3 linked regions of the Nothobranchius furzeri genome follow. The protein of the gene in region 1 purifies or fractionates together with the protein of each later gene. This does not show direct contact. Links are inferred from orthologs where the notes say so. Each region holds a gene or a part of one and is shown on either strand. Other genes may lie near its edges.

Evidence for each region. Proteins that work in one complex are often made in the same cells at the same time.
Region 2: the proteins of ccnb1 (region 1) and foxm1 purify together in Homo sapiens (affinity purification with western blotting; 4 studies listed by BioGRID, with this or other methods). This does not show direct contact. The link is inferred for Nothobranchius furzeri from reciprocal best matches to the Homo sapiens genes CCNB1 and FOXM1.
Region 3: the proteins of ccnb1 (region 1) and cdkn1bb purify together in Homo sapiens (affinity purification with mass spectrometry; 5 studies listed by BioGRID and IntAct, with this or other methods). This does not show direct contact. The link is inferred for Nothobranchius furzeri from reciprocal best matches to the Homo sapiens genes CCNB1 and CDKN1B.

Annotation. Positions count from the first base shown.
Region 1 is NC_091746.1:73,742,795-73,746,545, reverse strand, and holds the start of ccnb1 (G2/mitotic-specific cyclin-B1), read left to right. Parts: upstream 1-1,158; 5' UTR 1,159-1,270; coding exon 1,271-1,291; intron 1,292-1,513; coding exon 1,514-1,642; intron 1,643-2,160; coding exon 2,161-2,271; intron 2,272-2,354; coding exon 2,355-2,702; intron 2,703-2,791; coding exon 2,792-3,028; intron 3,029-3,098; coding exon 3,099-3,239; intron 3,240-3,751. UniProt on the Homo sapiens protein: Essential for the control of the cell cycle at the G2/M (mitosis) transition.
Region 2 is NC_091741.1:41,405,766-41,409,421, forward strand, and holds the start of foxm1 (forkhead box protein M1), read right to left. Parts: upstream 2,916-3,656; 5' UTR 2,801-2,915; coding exon 2,787-2,800; intron 2,706-2,786; coding exon 2,224-2,705; intron 2,147-2,223; coding exon 2,004-2,146; intron 123-2,003; coding exon 1-122. UniProt on the Homo sapiens protein: Transcription factor regulating the expression of cell cycle genes essential for DNA replication and mitosis. Plays a role in the control of cell proliferation. Also plays a role in DNA break repair, participating in the DNA damage checkpoint response.
Region 3 is NC_091744.1:57,772,448-57,776,198, forward strand, and holds cdkn1bb (cyclin dependent kinase inhibitor 1Bb), read left to right. Parts: upstream 1-949; 5' UTR 950-1,215; coding exon 1,216-1,642; intron 1,643-1,772; coding exon 1,773-1,888; 3' UTR 1,889-1,903; intron 1,904-2,823; 3' UTR 2,824-3,148; downstream 3,149-3,751. UniProt on the Homo sapiens protein: Important regulator of cell cycle progression. Inhibits the kinase activity of CDK2 bound to cyclin A, but has little inhibitory activity on CDK2 bound to SPDYA. Involved in G1 arrest. Potent inhibitor of cyclin E- and cyclin A-CDK2 complexes.

The DNA of each region.
Region 1 (3,751 bases):
GTTTGACAATTATTCATTTGTTCTTTATTGTCACATTTCAGTAACAGTTATAATTAAACAAGTTGTAATTCAACAAATTAAATAAATGACTACAACATTTCCCCCTGTTAAGTGCAGTAGACTGAAATGAATAGCTTTATTTGGAAATATAACATATCTAATTTTTAATGGACTTACATAAAATCTTTCTTCAACATAGACCCCACTAATTAACTGATTAAGTGTTATTTTTATAAAAAGAAGAGAGAAAATGCACAAAGGTAGGAAAGGAAAAGAAAGTGATGAAATAATAGGTTTTGTTAAATGTTCTTCATATAATGAATTAATTGACAAAGTTTTTGCAGGGTGTGACAAAAAACGTTCAAGGTCAAGCTCCTGGGGCTAAGCCCCCCCATATCTCAATCCTAGTGACGTCCATGGTGCAGCACATTCAGGCTCAGGAACTCACCTGTCATCGTCCAACGTTAATCACGACTCTCCATGTGGGTCCGCAGACATTTCTGTACATATTTCTGTAAAAGTTCACAAATACACGAGCAAGCTACAAGGTTTCTACTATTTTCACATAGAAGTCTATTTTGCGATTTTCTAAACACTCTCTAAACCATTAAGTGTGCAATATTCTACACATTTTTCTCAGTAAAATAAATTCATATGTTCACTTTTACGTTTGCTCATAAAACAAAAATATTTTATCGTGATTTTGTATTTCGAAATGTTTGTGCATTGTTTGAAAGCATCTTTTAGTCCCAAGTTTTACTATTTTATCAACAGCTGTGGTTTATTTCAGACATGAGAGGCACGAGCCAAACTGGAAGCACTGGTTTTCACTCCCCGAACAATCATTTACTTTTAAACAGCATGTGGTTTCAAAAACACCTACAAGTGAGTAGCAAATCTGAATAAACTAATTAAGAGGCTGATAAAAAGCTAATGAATGTGTATGGCGGTCTAATTATAAACTGACACATACTGATCTGTTATTTATATTTATATCGAGGTTTCACTGACTAACGAGCAGGAGAAAACAGAGAAAATAGCAAGACGCAACAGGAAAAGGAAATACGAGGATGTCACGTGATCGTACGTTGTCTAGGAAACGCATTCATTGCCTGCCTGATGGACCAATCAGATGCTCGGAGAAGTCAAAGCGCAGCGAATCAGCTTGCAGCGCACGAGGATTTAAACGAAGACAGCGAGTCTTTAGCTGAACTCGTTCGCTCGGCATTACGACTCTTTCACTGCTTGTCGGAACCACGCAGACTTGAAAATGGCTCTTCGAGTGACCAGAGTGAGTCTTTAGTCGGGTCTTACAGCTCTTTATCCGCGTAAACACGCCTAGAAACATGTCGAATGATTAGTATTAGCGTTTAAAATGCTTCCGTGCTTCGGTGTACCTCACCAGTTCAGGCACTGTCCTGCTGAGAGTTCAGAGTCAAACCTGAAGCGGATTTTGTGTTTATAGATGAACGACATGCAGCAGCGGCTAAAGGACTCTTTTGTTTCTCTGCAGACTCGGCTCGGTTCTACCAGAACCGAGCTCGGAGGAGGGAAGGCCTGCATGAACGGGCCCAAGCAGAAGCCTCGAGGCGCGCTTGGTGAGATCGGAAACGTCCCGCTGAACAAAGAGGTTCAGAAAAAGGTGAGAAGTTTTAAATACTCGAGTTTTTATGGTATTAATAATATTCACACGTGAGAACTTCATGCGTCTACTTTAGACTCGATGTGATGAAGTCATTTTCTTTTAAAGCGCTGCTAACATGTAGAGCACATGCTAGCAGACATGCTGCTGTTAACGTGCTATTTAAATAAAGTGGTGGACAGGTAAAGGTTTTTTTTAATCCCATAATAACACGTTCAAGTAGGGGGCGCTGCAGAGCCCCGGTGCCTGGAAGAAGCCATTTTCATGCACACATCCACCTAGAAGGTACTCTTGCATTGGACATGTCACCTTCTTAAAGCCCCGCCCTAGCCTTGGTGACTCACCTGGATGCAGCCTGGCTGCCTCACTAGGGATGCTTACTTTAAAGTGGGTAATCGGATCTGTTTAGCGTACCTGCGTAAACTTGTCAAGACTGTATAATCTTCAGTTTAACTCTAGTGAAGCACCAGGTGATTTAATTTCTCCATGGGGGCTTCAACGACCATATTTGGATTTAGAATGTCAAGATCGATGCTGCAAAGAAGCCTGAAGTTGTACCTAAAGCGGTAAAGGTGGAACAGCCCAAGCCTCCGGTCGTCATTGCTGCTGACCCTGAGCCTGAAGTTCAGGTGAGTCATCTGATTAGTTTAAATCCTGATTCGATCCATGCGCTGACGCACCTGTAAAACGTGTTGAACTTCCTCTGCTCCAGGTGCCGCCTGAACCCACCTCGCCCACTCCGATGGAGACGTCTAGCTGCAAACCCGCTGATCTCTGCCAGGCGTTTTCAGACGTCCTGCTCCACACCGCTGTCAGGGACGTGGATGCGGACGACTATGACAATCCCATGCTCTGCAGTGAATATGTGAAGGACATCTACAAGTATCTCCGTCAGCTGGAGGTTGAGCAGAACGTCAGGCCCACTTACCTACAGGGTCAGGAGGTTACCGGGAATATGAGGGCCATCCTCATCGACTGGCTGGTGCAAGTGAGCCTCAAGTTCCGTCTGCTGCAGGAGACCATGTACATGACCGTTGGAATAATCGATCGCTTTCTTCAGGTAATTCCCACGCTCGTCGTCGGTGGGTAGACGTATCCACGTGTAGAGATTAAAGGTGTTAAATGTGCACGTTCCTGCGTCTCCAACAGGACCATCCAGTCCCCAAGAAGCAGCTGCAGCTAGTGGGCGTGACCGCCATGTTCCTTGCCTCCAAATATGAGGAAATGTATCCTCCGGAGATCTCGGACTTTGCCTATGTGACGGACCGGGCCTACACCACTGCTCAGATCCGGGACATGGAGATGACCATTCTGAGAGAGCTGAAGTTTCAGCTTGGCCGACCACTTCCCCTGCAGTTCCTCAGAAGGGCCTCAAAGATCTATGAGGTTTGTGTCGAGGCTAAAGTCCAGCTGATCTTCAGTGACTTGTCTGCTGACTTCTGCCTTTGGTCCACAGGTAACGGCGGAGCAGCACACTCTAGCCAAATACGTCCTGGAGCTCACCATGATGGACTACGAGATGGTTCATTTCCCTCCTTCTATGGTGGCCAGTGCTGCTCTGGCGTTCACCTTGAAGGTCCTGGAAGCAGGCGAATGGGTTTGTATGCGATTTTTAAAATACTCCTGTGTTACTAAAATGGGTTCATCACAGGCTAATGGCTACTCCGACTGATGCAACGAACATTAAAGAGCAAGTCACCCCCAAATCAACTGTTTTTTCTGATAAACTATATAAATGCGTGTCTAATCGTGCTGCAGACGCATGTAGTCAACAGTTTTGCACTTTAGTGCATTTTAGTTAAAATTTCTGCCTAAAACTGTCAGTGTTGTGCCGTCGTCGGGTAAAAACTCTGCGCTGCATTTGAATTTAAATCTGCCACCGCTATTGGCTACCTAGAATGTTAGCTGGTACCATGAGATGTCACAATGTCGTGTGTGTGTGGCCCTCTCGGTCTGCTAGGTAACAGCATTAGTTGCATTTTTTTAAAACAGGAAGTGTGAGCGGAGTAATACCCTGGTAGGGGGTGACTTGCTCTTTAATATAACTATTTCCACCACTATCTGCTTAATGTAGTTTAGGCATAAATGTCAGATTCATTCAGTGGATGT
Region 2 (3,656 bases), on another chromosome or scaffold:
AGCGTCATCCTCCTGTCCTTCTTGCTGTTGATGGCAAACTGAATCATGGCCATGTAGGAGTATGGAGGTCTCTCTGCTTCGGTACCCTGGACAGCTTCTGCACTGGCGTATGGACCATGTGGCTGCAAATAGTCACAGAAAAAACACAAAGAGAATCATCTATATGTGCAACAATCATAGAGGATATTTTATCCAACTGAAGAAGAAGAAAGTATCATTTCTACAGCGCCTCTCAAGATAAAAATCACGAGGCGCTTCACAAAAACAAAAAATGTAAAAATAGAAAAAAGCATTTAGAAGATGTTTAAAAATATATTAAAATGAGCAAAAATAGACAATTGTGATTAAAAAAATGTTAAGAAAGAGAGAGAGTGAACAGGAAAGAGGGAAATCAGTGGATCCTGAGGAAGGTGGAATAGGTGAGGAGAGCAGAATAAAGAGAGAGAGGTGAAGAAGGTCATACAAAAGCCAGCTTGAACAGGTGAGTCTTCAGCTGCTTTTTAAAGGAGACCCCTGAGTCCACTGATCTCAGGCTCAGGGGGAGAGAGGTCCAGAGTCTGGGGGCCACAGCAGCAGATGATCTGTCACCTTTGACCTTTAGCCTGGTGCTGCACAACCAGTAGGCTTTGATCACTGGACCTCAGGGACCTGCTGGGGGTGTAGGGACTAAGAAGATCACCAATGTAAGATGGTGCTTGTCCATGTAAGGCCCTATAGACCAGAACCAGGATCTTGAAATGAACCCTGAAGTTGACTGGCAGCCAGTGAAGCTGGAGGAGAAGCGGGGTGATGTGGGTGTGTTTGGAGGACTTGGTCAGAAGCCGAGCACAGGCGTTCTGAACCACCTGTAGACGGTTCAGGGAGGTTCTGCTCAGACACGTGAAAAGAGAGTTACAGTAGTCTAAGCGTGAGGAGATGAAGGTGTGGAGCACAGTCTCAAGTTCAGAGCGGGACAGAATGGGACTCAGCTTAGCAATGTTCCTGAGATGGAAGAAGGAAGAGCGAACAAGAGAACTGACATGAGAATCCAGGGTGAGAGCTGGGTCAAAGGTCACGCCAAGATTCCTGACGGAAGGTTTGGTGTGAGAAGTAAGCTGACCAAGAGAGTCTCTGACTTTGGGAACCAGCTTGTCTGGGGCACAGATGAGGATCTCAGTCTTATCTTCATTCAGCTGTAGAAAGCTCCCAGCCATCCAGGTTTGATAGAGTCTAAGCAGGTGTGTAACAGCTGCAGCTTAGACATCTCATGGGGCTTAAAGGAGATGTACAGTTGGATGTCATCTGCATAAAGATGGTAGGAGATTCCTTTGAAGGAGCTCAGGATGTGCTGAAGAGGAAGCAGATAGAGGAGGAAGAGCAGAGGCCCCAGCACAGAACCTTGTGGGACACCATGGGTAAGGGAGGTGGTGGAGGACCTAAACTTGGAGACGACCACAGAAAAGGAGCGCTCAGAGAGATAAGAGAACCACTCCAGAGCAGTTCCTGATAGGCCTACCCAGTCTCTCAGCCTCTCCAGTAGCAGGTGATGGTCAACAGTGTCAAAGGCTGCAGTCAGGTCCAGCAGGACCAGAACAGAACAGTCCCCTGCATCGCTGTGAGTCAGAAGGTCATTAGAGACCCTAAGAAGTGCTGTTTCAGTAGAATGAGCTCTACGAAAACCTGACTGGAAGCTATCATAGATGTTATGTTCATCAAGAGCAGCTGTGAGTTGTTTAGCCACAACCTTTTCCAAGATCTTGGAGATGAACGGAAGTTTAGAGATGGGTCTGAAGCTGCTCCAACTGTAGCCCAGAGTGATGAATTTTTACTGAGAAATACTAAAATATTTAATTTCAAATCCAACTATCTAATTAAAAAAATCATATTTAACCTCCATTCTAATTGTAGCAACCAAATAAGCCTGTAAATCAGTCAGTAGTTCGTCTGTGGTTTTAGGGGACACTCGGGAGTCCTGTCAGAACTCAGTAGGCCATCTGCATCACACAAAAAGAAGCAAGACTGACCTGTAAATTCTGGGATGTTGGAATCGATTTGTCTGTCGTCTGTTCTTCAGAATCCGGCTCTAGGGCACAGGAGTCCATCTTGCCCAGCCACTGGATGTTTGTGAGGCTGTCGTCTAACGGGCTGCAACTCGCTTCTTTAATCACTGATGAAAGAGAAGAGTGCTTAAATGGACAATGATATGGGATGGTGAGATATCAGAGACAGCATAAACTGTCATACCGTATTTACAGCCAGATTGATGATCAGCTTCAGTGTTGAATGTGGCTTCCGAGCTTACAGATTGTCCAACTGGACTCCTCGTAGGAACAGATTCTTCTCTGGCAAATTCTTGACAAGAAGATCCATTGTCCCGGCTTCCACTCTCACTCAGAAGGATGAACTTGCTTGGACCCTGGTCACCACACTCTTTACTTTTTGCAGTAATGGCATCAATAACAACCTGAAGATCCACGTCTTTGGGGATGAAAACCACCTGAGTGTCAGACATGGATGAATGACCCATGATGTGGACACCATCTAGGAGGCACTGACTGGCAGCTGGTTTTGAGGATTCTTTGGAGCTTGAAGCAGCAGATGGAGAGCGTGCGTCAGCTGCTTCATTTTGCTGAAAAGGTAGTTTTCTTCTTTTCAGGATAAGGGGTCTCCTCGGACTCCTTCTCATGGTCAAATCATTGAAACGTCCATCCAAATTCACTGGTAAGCTGTGGGAAAAATAAAAAAAATATATATATATAAAAATAAAAAATAAAGAATATTTTAGGAACACATTTTTTTTTCTTTACCTTGCTTGCATCATATCAGAAAACCGTTGTAACGCAAATCACCGGTGGAAAGTTAAGTTGTTATTTTACGTGTCTACGTATCTATTAATATTAAAGCACACGATTAATTCATGTTATATTAAAACACGCTGTGGGTTACGCTATTAAGACAAAAAGTTCCGACTAACGTATCCGTGTTACGGCTCAGTGGTTATCCGAGGTTTTATTCCTTGGCAACTGGAGAATTCAGGCGTTAAATTCACACCGGAAGTATAATTTAACGTTTATTCACAATGACATGGCTAACCGTTGTATACGTTGTAAATAGTATTTCAGGTTATGACACAATGACACGTTTGAAGCTTAAATTGGGCCCTAACAACACCATGTCTCATCTAAGAAAATGGGTTTTCAGCTTAAAAGCCCGATGCTACCACTGCTGCTGGTGGTAGCTTCTGATTGCTAACAGCAAAGCTACTAAATAAAGCCAGACCTTCATATTTCTTGTTTCAGACGGCTCCGCTGGTTTGAACTCCAACGCTGATGTTGTGGAGCACTTCGCTCGTATTACATTTTTGATAAAAGATATGTGACAGCTACCAAGCCTTTATTACAGGTTGTTTACGTGTCAAGTCAGAAACCGTTTTTGAATTTTGGCGCTGTGGGTGGTGTCCCCCTTCATGTTGATCACGTGGTAAAAACGGGCCAATGGGAACAAGAAGCTCAACGGACAAGAAGTACTCTAGGGGGCGCTAAATCACCCACATGCGGCTGCGCAAGTCGGAGAAAAGACGACAAAGAAGAAACCCGGGAAGTAGAAACAAAAGATGATTTCATGAATTGACTAACTGTTGTTTGTTTTTAACTTTGTGGGACGATTTGAATATAGTG
Region 3 (3,751 bases), on another chromosome or scaffold:
AATGGCTGGCTGTAGCCGGCCTCATCTGCACCACTTATCCTGCTGTGACCCTTTTAAGTAAACATTTTTTCCAGTAAAAGTACATTGCATCATTTCTCACAAAACAGTTTAAACACTGCACTTTTATTTTGGAACATGAGGCCAAAATCAGCCTTACGTCTGGTGTTTTATTTTCTGTCAGTTTGTGTAAAAAGTAACAAAAGGAGAAAAAAGGTTTTCATGCAGTCATTGACAAAAAGAAACTACCTTAAATTATTTGTATTATATATATATAATGATGTAATTCTCTCTTTTGGGAGTGCATGCTGACTTTTATGTGAAATTGTGAATTTTTTCAGCTGCGATGTAAAAACCAATGCTCGACCCACGGCAGGTTTGATTTCTGCAGGTTCTTGGCTTATTAGTTTTGTTTTACACTCCGTTGTAGTGTGTCTTTGGCATACGTGTGTTGCTTTATGATGCTGGATTTTTTTTTTAAATTTGGTAAATATTTGGTTAATACTTATATTTAGAATAAATCAACTATTAAAAACAGAGTAATGCACACTGAAGATGTTTAGAAAAATAATGGTTTTGACTCCTTTGCAAATTACCTGTAAATTTAGTATTTTTTTTAGATGTGTAACTATAAAGCTTGTGTGATGTAGTCATTTACACAAAAATACGTTTTCTATTTTTAAGAAGCATACATAAATATTTATTTTAGTAAAACGTGATGGAAAAATATGAGCCGACTTCCCCACTCATACACGCCTACTGTCACTTTAAATAAAGTAGGTGGGGCCAGGTGTCGCTTAACCAATGAGCGTCCTTTGCCGGGTTTAAATAGCTCTGTGTGTCAATCATAAGCCCCTCCCCCTCCCGTCTCAGTCCCCACCACTGCTCTGCTCCTCAATCGCCATATTGGGTGCTGAGGTTTCTCTGCAGTTTCTCTCTGAGCGGAGCGAAACTGACAGCGTCCTCAGTTCCTGTGCACTTTGTTTTGATGATTCTCGGAGACCATCTTCGACTCCAGAGCCCCGCAGCAGTTAACGTCTTCCACTTCGACGTATGCATGGCATAGGTGTAGAGCTGCGTCGGATCTTTCCCCCGTGACCTGGAGATACCGCTGTTGTTGTTTTTTATTTGTATTTTTTTTTCAGCGACGTGTTTTTCTTATGACAGCTGGACGCTCCCGGCTGACTGAAAATAGCGTGTTTATTGGGGGGAGGGGAAATGTCTAATGTTCGAGTTTCAAACGGGAGTCCGACGTTGGAGCGGACGGAGGCCCGGGTGTCGGAGCACCCGAAGCCGTCTGCCTGCAGAAGTCTGTTCGGCCCGGTGGATCACGAAGAGTTAAAGAAGGATTTTAACGAACACATGCGGGAGTTCAAAGAGGCTGCCGCTGCCAAGTGGGGCTTCGACTTCGCCAGTGACACGCCACTGAGCAACGGCAGGTTCAAATGGGAACTAGTGGATTCCGAGGAGATGCCGGACTTCTACCACCGGCAGCCGCGGAGGGAGAAGGGCGTCTGCCCCAGGAGCACCAGTGTGGATCTAAACGGGAACCATAACTGCGTCCTGGTGGCGTCGAGCGGGGATACCAGCAAGCCCGACGGTCAAACGGAGTGCACCGGGCTGAGGAAGAGACCTGCTAGTCACGGTACTACATTTGCATCTAATCAGGTTTTAGAGCCGGAGCTCGGCTTTCACCCGACAGGAAGCACATCTATAACCCTCTTCTTGTGTTTTTGCTCCGAGTTTCCCTGACAGAATTTCTTTGCTGTTCGCAGAGCCTCCGACCCAAAACAAGAGGTCCCATACCAGCCCAGACGAGGTTAGCTGTCCGAACCTGAGCCACTCAGTAGAACACACACCCAGAAAGCCCAGTCCCAAGAGACAGACGTGAGCCCGAGAGAAAACGGTGAGGCTTAAACTCATCCGTATACAATAACCGCATGTAGCTTCTGTTCCTCAGCTGTGATCTGAGCCACAGCAGGTTATATAACACGTTCTCTCCACATATTATCGAGTAGCTTTAACGGTGCTGCACGCTTATTTTATCTTCAGTAAGTAAAATGCTGGACTCTAGTAACCATTTCAACATTTTATATTCATTTAATCACAATGAGATCAACTCTGCCGAGAGAAAAAGGCTTTAACGTCTCACTGCTGCAGCTTTTCTACTAAACTGTAAACAAGGGCTGAACAACAGTGTAGTAGTAACACGTCAGCAGCCACTGCCCTCGGAGCAGAGCAGAGAAGGGGCTGGTCTCTGAACACACACACGCACGCACGCACACACACACACACGCACGCACGCTGTCCCTGCAGGCAGAGGAGTGTGCTGAGGAGACCCGCAGGTCCGAATTCAAGTAAAGGGAGGAGGGATGGGCACGATGAGATCTTCCTCACAGTGGTTTAGGACCTGTTTAGGCTGCAGATGAGAACACTTACATCAATGTTTCTTTTTAGCACAGAAATTTGAACAATAACCGGGTGTGATTCAATATGAGGATGTTTTTCTGTTCAAAAGTAAATCCTTGAAAGATTTTATTATAAAATATGATGAAAGAACTGCACTAAAAGACAAAATAGCTGTTAGTTTCATAAGTGTGTGTGTGTGTGTGTGTGTGTGTGTGTGTGTAACAGGTCAGTTTAGCTTAACCTTGTTAGTCTTTTTAAAAATAGGAAACTGATAGGGGGTGCACACTTGAAATAAACAGTCTAGTTATGAAAAATAATTAAAGTGAAACTTTTTCCATGAATTGTTAAAAGATGATTTTTCAAAAATGTTAATACTAACCTTTTTTTTTTCTTATTTTTCCCACCTTCTCCACACAGTTCGAGCATTTTTTTTTTTGCGAGGGTGTTGTTTTTTATATGCATCTTTTATTTTATTTTTTTGGAGGCCTGACTGTTTGTTGGCTTTTTGGGGATGAGGATCTGCGCAGCATCAGAAACATATCGGCTCTTCTGAGGACTGAGGAGGACGCTGTTGAAGCACTGAATAGAAACACTAAAGTTGTGGCACTCAATTAAAAATAAGTTACTGCCTCTAACAGCAGTCGATGTAGCAGTGTGCAATTAGGTTTTATTTCCCTTTTTTGCTCGTTTTGTTACTACCTGTGTGTAAATAAATTAATAAAGATGGATATATATATATATAGGTATAAATATGTCTCCATGTGTAGCACATAAGGAACTTAATTCTAAATCCAATCCTTTTTGTAAAAAGTTGTGAATTTTCATTTGACTTGAAGAATTGCAGTGATGGTTTCCAAAATGCTGTTTTTTATTTTTATTTCCAGACTGTGTGACATTTGCCACTGTCCTTAATTGCTACACTTAAAAAGAAAAAATCATGGCTTCTCACCGTTTCTGTAGTGTTCCTTCACTCCGTCAGCTTCCTAATGCAGCAGTGAAGAATGGTACAAATGTAGCTCACGTATCGTAATTTAATTTGTTTTTTCATTTATTACAGCGCCTCCCTGCAAAGGGCTGGACTCGTCTAAACGACGAGGAGATGTAAAAATTCTGTTAAGATTTTCTGATATTTATTTTTTAATCGAGGTGCTTTTAGCATCAGAGTCCTGGAATATTATGAAACAATTTTTTTGAAGTTTTTCTGTGCGCCTCAGCTACGTTTTAATGTTCGAGTGTTTCCTTTGAGCTGTGAGGTACTCGGCTTTGAAGAACAAGAATCAACGTTTTGCTTTCCTTCTGCCCCTAAACCTTAATCTTCTAAAAGGAAAAAGTCTCGTGGTTTGTT